3 linked regions of the Ovis aries genome follow. The protein of the gene in region 2 purifies or fractionates together with the protein of the main gene of each other region. This does not show direct contact. Links are inferred from orthologs where the notes say so. Each region holds a gene or a part of one and is shown on either strand. Other genes may lie near its edges. The genes, in order: RBX1, CUL9 and APEX2.

Region 1 (3,843 bases), on a different chromosome or scaffold from region 2:
TAGCCAGCAAAAGAGAAGCTAGTCTTTGTGAAAGAGCGACAGAATCCCAGCAGGGATGCCCTGGTTCTAGTCATTCATTCTTAGGTCCAGCCCCTTCTGTGTCCCTTACTCCTTTCAGAGGACACAGCCCCCTAGCCCTCACAAACGTTCCATGACCTAAGCAGAAGCTGGAGTCGGCTGCTCTGCAACCAAGGGTCTTTATGAACACCCAGGCAGAACTCTGCAAATATGTGACGCCAGCTGTGTGAAAACCATTCTTCTGCATCGCTTAAGTGTTCCTGCAGTGTGAATGACCACCTGAAAGGGGTTTAAAGGAGGTGATTTCTGCCGAGGGTGGAAGGAACATCGACGGCAGCAGCCACCTGGCCCTGAGCGACTGCACTGCTGGCGGCCAAGTGGGGAAGCTGGGTTCCACCCAGGTTGGACCTCAAAGTTCTTATTACTAAGCTAGAGGTTCTCAAACTTTTGAGTCTCAGGATCCCCTTATGATCTTACACACTGAAGAAACCAAAGAGTTTTTATGGGGGTTGCATCCACAGATATTTACCACAATGGAAATCAAACTGAGAAATTTAAAAGATTTTAAAAGAACAAAAACCCATCACGTTAACATAAATATTTTTATTCAAAGTAACTAGTTTTCAAAACAAAAGTTAGAAGAGTGGCACTGTTTTACATTTTTGCAAATCTCTTTTATATCTGACTTAGCAGAAGACAGCTGGATTTGCTGCTCTCTTTTTTCATTCAATACGTTGCTTTGTCTGAAGGAAAAAAAGAAAAATTGGCCTTGTACAGACACGCAGCCGGAAAAGGAACTTCGTGAACCTCCTGAAAGTGTTTCCATTACTCCCGCAAGTCCTCAGCACACACTTTGAGAATCACTGCAGTAAATTAACCCGCCTCTCAGTTAAAGACTAAGAGACTGAAGTAGTGTTAGAACTGGCAGTTCTGTCCACAGCCAAGGCATCTTAAACAAATTACAAAGGGTGGTGGTGAGGAAGGGAAACCTGAATTCTCCCGTTAACTCTAAATGACACTGTTTTCCAATTTGAGTTCACAGATTACTCCATCGCCAGCCAAGATGACATATTAATTTTTTTTCAAGTTAACTTTTCTAAACTAAAATGAGAAAGCAACATGTCATACACAAAGTTAACACCTGTACAGCGTTCTCACAGTTTATAAGGCCTCTTTCTGTGCCCACATGATCCTGTTTAGTCCTTAGCAGCCACTTCACGGAGGAGGAAGAGCTCGGAGCAGACAGACCACTCGCCCAAGATCATCAGCAGCAGCCAGGCTGTGGACCAGGCTTCCTTGAGACCAAGCGACGTGCTCACAGGACGATCCTGCTTTGGCTCTGATGAACAAACACCTCACTTTCAAAACCTAGCCTTCCACCCTAGAAAGGGGCGGGAGGCCCTTTACTTGTGTTCACTTTTTGCACATACACAAAAGACAGCGTCTGTTCTAGAATCCAACTGGATTTTATTTGACACAGAATACAGTATGGCTGCCAGAATAGCAAACTGAAAAGACAAAGCAGAAGAGACACAGTTCTATCTAATTTATAATAAGTAACAGGAGGGCAAGTCATTCAGTGGATAACAAAAACAGTTGAGCTTGATGGAAGAATTCTTTTTCTAGTGCCCATACCTGGAAGACAAAGTAAATTATTAATTCATTCCTTATCGTGATTCCCTGTTTGAGACTGTAACACCTGCTAAAAATATATCCACCAATCTGGTTAAAACTTTGAAGATTGGGTTTCAACCCTTGTCTCTGCCCCTTTCAGCCTACCGGCCTCCTGTAACATTGTCCCTACCACCCTCTTCATAGTGATGGTCCCCCACTCAACTGCACCCACCTGACTCTTTCCTGGTGCCAGGCAGATACTGGGCAGTGACAGGGAGGAGTCACGGCTAATGGCTGTGAAAGGGAGCTGCACTTGATGGCCAGTATGCAGCTAAGACAGCTTGAATCCTCCGCCCTCTTCCCTGTGGGCCGCCTCTTCCCCTCAACTCCCATACTTGGGCTAGTTTAGGGTAAGACCCCTACAGAGGATAGTAACCGAACAGCCTTCAGTGTCAAAATCTATCACCAGTTCCAATTACAGCCCTGAGTCTGCTGAGCACCACCGAAAGAACTGTCGAGAAACTAGCTATGGATCTCAGGTCCTTTCTGATTTCCTCAGAGGCCAAAACTTGGCTCCAGAAAGATTATAACCAATGGTAGGACATTTTTTCCACATGTAAGATTTCTTGAACACAGAATCCATTATTATCTTAATCTTTGGCCATGGTTCTTAGTGGGTAGTTCGCCTCTAATGAAAATACTTTGCTACACAGATGGAGACCAGGGCACCAGAATTCTGCATCACTGTTGCCATCATCCTGAAGGGCTGCTAGATTCTTTAAGTACTCCTTATAAGAAATTCGCTTAAAAATTCCCTAAAAAAGTCCTCACAGGGTAGAGCTCCAGCTTGTTAGTGAGAATAACCTAGAAGTTATCCATCAGTTTAAAGCATGCTGAAATGAAATTTGCTTCTTATGAATTTGTTTTCCCAGGGCGCTCATAACCACAGCCAGGCAAAGTCACCAGCTGGATAAAGCGACAGTGTCAAAGCCTAGCAGGAGGATTCGTCACCCCCCCACTTCTTAGGCTCAGCCCTGGGCACGTGTATGGGCTACGTGAGACAGTTTTGATCCAAGATGGCACCCTGAGCCTGCTCCACGGCACAGTCAATTACAAAGGTCTCTTGAGAACTTCGAAAATCCCCCTTTCCATTAAAAATTTGATAAATTAACTGAAAATTCAACAGATAAAAAAGCATTTCACAGACAAATACAACAGGCATAAAAACATATGAAAAGCAGCCCAACTTTACTCAAAGTTTTAAAAAATACAATTGAAAACTAATTTTCACCTGTCAGTAGCTAAGATGAAAACGTCTGATAACAAAGCACTGGCAAGAAATGGAGGAGGAAGTCTTCTGCTTCACTGTTGGTAGGGGCTGTGAATTAGTACATACTCTTGGGAAAGGAAAAAAATCTGACACTATCAAAAATAAAAACATACATACTCTTAAACCAGAAATTCCTCTTTTAGGAATTACTAGTACAGACTGATCATTTGAAGTTTTGAAAATTTGCACGCCGTGTATTACTTACACGCTACTACAATTAACAGCAGCAACAATAATGATTTAGTTGAGATAGCCACAGATGCTGTATCAGAATTAATCCCTGTGAGATAAACCAATGAAACATGATATAATTCTAGCCCAAAGCAAAGACAGATGACATTAGTTAGCCCCTGGAGCCTTATTCTTGATGTGATTGTGGAAATATTTAATAGCTTGCAAAATGAGAATTTGCAAGCTTCTACTACTACTTCCAAAGACCCTACCTAGATGGCTGGGAAACTCCAGGCTGCAAGTTTCTAATGCTGGTTCACCTTATACACTTTCCACAGAGACGCGTCCTCATCTAACTAACCGAAAGCTACTTTATGAACCAGCCATGTTCTATGTCTTCATCTTCTAAAACTGTGCACCCTCCAGCTTGACGTGGGTCCAAGAACAGTACTGACCACAAAGCCCAACCTTACATACGATGTCGAAACAGCCGGGGACACCTACTTTTGGAATTCCCACTCTCTGTTGTCCAACGGACACACCTGCCGTGTTTTGAGCCAGCGAGAGATGCAGTGGAAGTGGAAAGCATGCTGGAAGAAAAGATACATTTTATTAAAAATAATTCTGTGCAGGCTCAGCCGTCTACGGACAATATATCTCAAGGGGAGCAGGGTGGTGATACACAGCGGCTGGAGAAGAACCATGGAAGG
Region 2 (3,651 bases):
TCCCCATGTAGAGCTGCTTTCTGTCTTCTCCCATGGGCCTTACGATGACTACAATGTGAACCAAACGTATTTTAAATATATATCCCCCTCTCTGGAGCCCTGATTTACTGTAAACAAGTTAATATACAGAGGTGATGCACACGAATAAACAAAGAAATACGTAAGGATGTTTACTAAAATGTTAACAGTGACTATCCCTGCATAGAGGCTTTTCAGATGATCGTTATTCTTATAACTTTCATTTTCTTATAGGGATCATATATATTATTTTATATTCAGAAAATAAATATGATTATAGAAGAGACAATATTTGGAACAGCAATAATGAATTAATATCCAGAATGTCTGCAAATCAATAAAAAAAGACAAAGACCCAATAAGACAATGGGCAAAGGATAAAAATATTTATAGCAGAATACAAGAAGCGCATGCAAATATGCCTATCTTCTCAAGAAATTAAAGACAAAAAGATACCAATCACTTTAAAATGTTGTCAACCTGATAGATTTTTGAAAATGATAATAGCCAGTCGCTGGCAGATGTGAAGAAAAATAGATCCCTTAGAACACTGTATGTGAGAGAACAGACGTGTAGTTGCCAAATGGGGGAGGAGGGTGGGAGAGGGATGGACAGGGAGTTTGGGAGTAGCAGCTGCAAGCTATTATATATAGGACGGTTAAACAACAGAGTCCTACTGTATAGCACAGGGAACCATATTCAGTATCTTCAAATAAAAGATAATGGGAAAGAATATGAAAAAGAATATACAATCGAGTCACTATGCTGTACAGCAGAAATTCACATAACATTGTAAATCAACTATATGCTTCAAGAAAGTAAAATTTTACAAACTCAGGCTACATTTGATTTTGAGTATAATCATATTGCAGAGTCCAAGGCAGCAGTGAGAACGAGGCAGCACCACGCGGATGGACATACCGCATGCAGACACACTGCGTGCAGGCAGACAGCTGCAGAAACAGACAGAGTGTGATCACATATACTAAAACTCAAATGCACAAAATACACTAGCAAATGTAAGCCTCTAGAAGGTCTGAAGGATACGTGCTTGGATGTGTGACCACAGCAGTAAAAAGGGACTTTGACTTTTCATTCTCTGGATCTTTTAAAAAAGGAACACAATGGTGTACTATTTGTAACTAACAAGTATTTTTTAAAAATTTTAGGGGACTTCCCCGGTGGTCCAGTGGTTAAGAATTTGCCTTGCAATGCAGGGGACGTGGGTTCGACCCCTGGTCGGAGAACTAAGATCCCACACGCCAAGGGGCTTTAAGCCTGCAAACCACAACTAGAGAGTCCATGCCCCGCACATGAAAGATCCTGCATGACGCAACGAAGACCCTGCGCGACACAACTGAGATCTGATGTGGCCAAATTAATTCATTAATTATTTCTTAATTTAATAGGAAGAAAGTAGAGAGGGAGGAAAAAAAAAATGCTCAAAAGCCAAAAGGATCTCGATTTGAATCCTGATTCTACTACCTGTCATACTGGGCGAGTTACTTAAATTCTCTAAGCCTCAGTCCCCGATCCACACGGTGGATAAGAATAGCATCAGGTTTTCCTCTGCAGATGGGAGGATTTAAAGAGAGAATGCTTATAAAACTTTAAGCACAAGGGCCTGGCACAGAACAAGTGCTCCCAGAATATTAACCATCATACAGTCCACCTTCCTGCTCAGTTATGCCTCAAGCTGGCCCTTCTTTCCCCCAGCCTTTCTAACTCTTGATCTCCTAGCTCCTTCCCTCCCTACCACTATCCTCCCCCAGCTGACAGCTTACACTGTAACCCCCACTTCCCTGCCCAGGGTTCTAACCTCAGGAATCTGTCAGGATGGACCAGAGGGTGGTCTCGCTCTGTGACCTCCTCCACAGCCTGGGAGAGAGCGCAGAGCGCTGAGAGCTGCAGGCTGGTGTCCACGCTGGAGATCTGCACAGTGGCCACAACCGCTGCCACGTACTGGTCCAGGGAGCTGCGTGGCCCAGGACCCCGCAAGGCTCTAATCATTTCTGAAAGTTGTGAGGGAAAGGCGGCGGCTTAAAAAAAAACAACTGCGGCATCTTCACCTTGGAACCCTCTAACGGTCAAGCCCAATTATCCTACTGACATTTGAACACCCTGTTCACTACTGTAGCTTGGATCCAGAACGTTCCCAACTCTGTGTGAGGGATTTAATAGTCAGGCAATGAAGATGACGATACTCTAGAAAACGGACCCTCCTTTTCCAGGGACCCTGAAGGAAGGCAGCAGTGACAGACTGTACATAATCAAGGTCCAAGGAAGGAAAATGGATGCAAGCTCCCAACGCACCTTCTCACTCAGAAGTGATCTCGCACCACAGCGTGCCCTCCCCACTGACCACCCACTTCTCTGGGGGGCACCCAGGACTTGCTCCCACCTCTCTGCCCTCCCCTCCCAGCACCTGACTCACCACTGGCTGCCTCCTTCATCCCGGAGGGGAGAGCCATCCCCTCAGTCACCAGAAGCTGGTTGAACAGCTGTGAATCGCTCTGTGCCATGGGCGGCTCGGTTTTTCCCTTGACCGGCTCCGCCTCTGCCTTGGAGGGCTCAGCCTTCACTTTGGGGGACTCAGTTTCCTCCTCTGAGAAGGTGGCCTCTGACTTCGACTCCTCTTCAGGATCTGGGGTACTGGAGTGATTTTGTGAAGATGACGAGCCACTCAGAGCGTCGGGCTGCAGCCTGTACTTGGTGTAGATCTGGGAGTTGAGCAGGTCGCTGAGGGTGCTGCCCTCAAACCGATCCCTGAGAACCTGTAGTAGACTCTCTGCCATGGTCACAGGCACAGAGATTTCACCCAGGGCCTTCTTACCCAGGCTCTGCCAACAGAAAGGCATGTACTTCAGGAAGGAGCAGACACCAAGGGCCTGGGGACAGCAACAGGAGGTGGGCCACCTCCCACTGGGGCCTTGCACACTTCCTGCCTCCTAGACCCTCCCAGCTTCTGCCTTATCCCCAGGGAAGGATTCCTTAGCTCTCTAACCTCTAAGTTCTCTAACCTCACTCCACCCTCCCCTAGGCAGTTCAGTTCAGTTCAGTCGCTCAGTCATGCCGACTCTTTGCGACCCCATGAATCGCAGCACGCCAGGCCTCCCTGTCCATCACCAACTCCCAGAGTTCACTCAGATTCACGTCCATCGAGTCAGTGATGCTATCCAGCCATCTCATCCTCTGTCGTCCCCTTCTCCTCCTGCCCCTAATCCCTCCCAGCATCAGAGTCTTCTCCAATGAGTCAGCTCTTCGCATGAGGTGGCCAAAGTACTGGAGTTTCAGCTTTAGCATCATTCCTTCCAAAGAAATCCGAGGGTTGATCTCCTTCAGAATGGACTGGCTGGATCTCCTTGCAGTCCAAGGGACCCTCAAGACTCTTCTCCAACACCACAGTTCAAAAGCATCAATTCTTCGGTGCTCAGCCTTCTTCACAGTCCAACTCTCACATCCATACATGACCACTGGGAAAACCATAGCCTTGACTAGACAGACCTTAGTCGGCAACATAATGTCTCTGCTTTTGAATATGCTATCTAGGTTGGTCATAACTTTTCTTCCAAGGAGTAAGCGTCTTTTAATTTCATGGCTGCAGTCACCATCTGCAGTGATTTTGGAGCCCCC
Region 3 (2,819 bases), on a different chromosome or scaffold from region 2:
CTTGTACAATTAATTCCTGGTCCTGTCTGGCAACTCTAGGTTTGAGGGATCCATTTCTTTCCACCCTTTAACACATCTGTGGCAGCTGTGAGACCCATCAGTTGGGAAACATTGGTTTAAAGCTACACAGCCTGGGGCTTCCCTGATGACTCATGACTGTAAAGAATCCACCTGTCAATGCAGGAGATCCAACTTCAATCACTGGGTCAGGAAGATCCCCTGGAGAAGGGAACAGCAACCCACTACAGTATTCTGCTTGGAGAATCCCATGGACAGAAGAGCCTAGCAGGCTACACTGCATGGGGGCACAAAGAGTCGGACATGACTGAGTGATTAACACTTTCATACAGCCCACCTGAGCTTTCTGTCCCACCATACCCATCTCCCTTGATGACCCAACCTCAGCAGTACAGGAAACCCCAACTAAACAGAGAACCTTTATGGTGAGCACCACTCTTCCTTCATCACTTCTCCTTAGGAGTTCAAACCCGGGACTGAGATAACATCTCTAACGCAACTTTATGGGGCACATCCAAAATGTCCATATGACATGGTGCACTACAACAAAGACATGGACTTTATTTAGGCACAGATACATTTTCTGGCAAGGTAAGAAGAGGTTTAAAATTACAACTTCCTGGGGCAACTGCTTCTGGTGTACTTCTGAGAGGAAGGTGGGAAGTGGGGTGGGGGACTGGGTCACAAGCATTAAGCACAAGAAGCTCACCAATGAGGAGGAACTAAGCAGGAAGAAAAGAGAAAAAAGGAGGCTTTAGAGGAAGAAGAAAAAGAGGAAAGGGGAAGGGTCCTTGAGGAAGGTGGAAGAGGAGGAGGAGAAAGAGGAGGAAGAAAGGAGGTCTTGAGGAAGGAGGAGGCAGCTTAGGAGGAAGTTGGCCTCAGACCATACAAGGTAGACTATGTCAGACATCTCTAGGCCTGCGTTGGTTCAGCTGGGCCTGCTCCAGAGGAAGAAATTGCAGCGGGAAGAGGGGTCAGTGGGAGGACCCTGGGGCCTGGCACACATGTAGAAGTGGCGGCCCAGGTTGGGTCCTGGCTTCTTTACAGTTCGCATTACACATGGCTCCCTGTGTCCCCCACAGAGGGGCATGGGCGAGGGTCCTCCCAGCAGAGATTTCCAGAATGAGGTCCTTATCTCCTTTTCATCCTTGGCCTCTGAAGCCTTGGCCTGCCCCTCCACCACATTGGCCATCATGTCCTCTTCTGAGGTCTTTGGGGTCTTAAGGGTGCCCAGGCTAGGAAGATCCAAGTTAGAAGTTTGGGGGCGACTGGAGGATGGCTGGAAGTAGCTCATCAGGTTTTTTTGGCCTCTACTAGAGACAGTTTTACTTGACCGGGACCTAGTTGAGCGCACACGGGCTTTGTTTTGGCGCATGTATACCTGTGTTTGATTGCTGGGCTGTAGTGCTGATTGCTTGAACACAGGATCTTGTTTGAGGTGAACCAGGAATCGTAGGATCTTGAGTTGGGTACCTGCAAACTCGGGGAGGAAGCAGGTGCACAGAGGTGGGCACTGTTTTGCTGGCACAGAGGACACACTTAAGACTGCACCCACAGGGCAGTGATCAGAGCCCATCACCTCAGGCAGCAAGAAGGAGTCCTGAAAGGTGTCTATGACCAGGGTCCTATCCCCCAACACGTAGTCAAGCCGGGAGCCATAGTTCAAATGGCGGGCACCACTGACTGTCGACCAACAGGTGAAGGCCCTCTTCTGCTTTGGGTGGAAGCAGCGGTAGCTATCGATGAAGGGTCCCATGTGGGAGCCACTCTCACACCCCAGGTTACTGAGCAAACCATCCATCCACTTGCGCCCTGGGTCCTCTTCAAAGCATTCCTGGGGAAAAGGGAAGAAGACAAAGAAAGAGGCAGAGTTAGATGCCTAGAACTGTAAGGGACTAACTGCTTCATTTTACAGACAAGAAAATGTGGCTGTTCCAAAGAAGAATGCTCAAGGTCATACAGTCTGGAACTGGCAGAGCTGGGATTCACTTTGCATCCTTACTGATTTAAAAGCTCATGCTTCTTTTTACTTCTGCATCAAGCTACATCTACTTTGCACTGGGCCATAAATCCTGGGCCTGAAAGCTTCCTGTTGGTTAATCAAAGCAATTCTCAGAATTGCTCACCAAGGGAATGGAAAGTAAGATGTGTAGAATGGTTACCTCTAGGAAGTTGGGCTACAATTAGGAGTTAAGACTGTTGCCTTTTCATGTAAACCCTTTAGTACTATTTTGGTATTTGTTTTGGTATTTGACGGGCTCAAAGGATTCACAACTGAATACTTCCTTTGGCCCTGATTCCTAATTCATCATCCACCCAATCCACTTACTCATCCATTCAATGCAACAAATGTTCAAAGAACACTGACTATGTGCCAGGTGTGATATGAGTGACAAAGTGGGACCCTGATCTAGTCTTGGGGACCAACAAGGCTTTCTTTTAGCAAGTGATCTGGAGCTGAGAAGTGAAGATTGAGCAAGAATAACCTAGGCAGAAGGTGTTACAAATTGAGATAACAACTTATGCAATGGGCCTGTGGAGGGAGGGAACAGTGTACCCAGAAGACTGGAGAGGCAATGAGACTGTGGACCAGAGTACCAATAGGAGATAACTATCATAGTCCACATAAGCAAGATATGATGGTTACTTAGACTAGGGTGGTGCCAGGGGAGATAAAACGAAATTAAGAGATGATTTGGAGCTAGAATCAACAGTACTCACTGGACAACTGAATGGGAAAAGGGAGGGTAGAGAAGGACAATACTAACACGATTCCCTGGCTTCTGGTTGGAGCAACCAAG

What was found.
Region 1: the proteins of CUL9 (region 2) and RBX1 purify together in Homo sapiens (affinity purification with mass spectrometry; 5 studies listed by BioGRID and IntAct, with this or other methods). This does not show direct contact. The link is inferred for Ovis aries from reciprocal best matches to the Homo sapiens genes CUL9 and RBX1.
Region 3: the proteins of CUL9 (region 2) and APEX2 purify together in Homo sapiens (affinity purification with mass spectrometry; 3 studies listed by BioGRID and IntAct, counting the BioPlex papers as one, with this or other methods). This does not show direct contact. The link is inferred for Ovis aries from reciprocal best matches to the Homo sapiens genes CUL9 and APEX2.

The regions. Positions count from the first base shown.
Region 1 is NC_056056.1:217,993,023-217,996,865, reverse strand, and holds the end of RBX1 (E3 ubiquitin-protein ligase RBX1), read right to left. Parts: intron 3,724-3,843; coding exon 3,638-3,723; intron 2,998-3,637; coding exon 2,934-2,997; 3' UTR 2,924-2,933; intron 1,654-2,923; coding exon of another isoform or gene 1,591-1,653; 3' UTR 602-1,590; downstream 1-601. UniProt on the Homo sapiens protein: E3 ubiquitin ligase component of multiple cullin-RING-based E3 ubiquitin-protein ligase (CRLs) complexes which mediate the ubiquitination and subsequent proteasomal degradation of target proteins, including proteins involved in cell cycle progression, signal transduction, transcription and transcription-coupled nucleotide excision repair.
Region 2 is NC_056073.1:16,785,734-16,789,384, reverse strand, and holds part of CUL9 (cullin-9), read right to left. Parts: intron 2,859-3,651; coding exon 2,453-2,858; intron 2,031-2,452; coding exon 1,838-2,030; intron 1-1,837. UniProt on the Homo sapiens protein: Core component of a Cul9-RING ubiquitin-protein ligase complex composed of CUL9 and RBX1. The CUL9-RBX1 complex mediates ubiquitination and subsequent degradation of BIRC5 and is required to maintain microtubule dynamics and genome integrity.
Region 3 is NC_056080.1:53,047,566-53,050,384, reverse strand, and holds the end of APEX2 (DNA-(apurinic or apyrimidinic site) endonuclease 2), read right to left. Parts: intron 1,853-2,819; coding exon 947-1,852; 3' UTR 555-946; downstream 1-554. UniProt on the Homo sapiens protein: Functions as a weak apurinic/apyrimidinic (AP) endodeoxyribonuclease in the DNA base excision repair (BER) pathway of DNA lesions induced by oxidative and alkylating agents.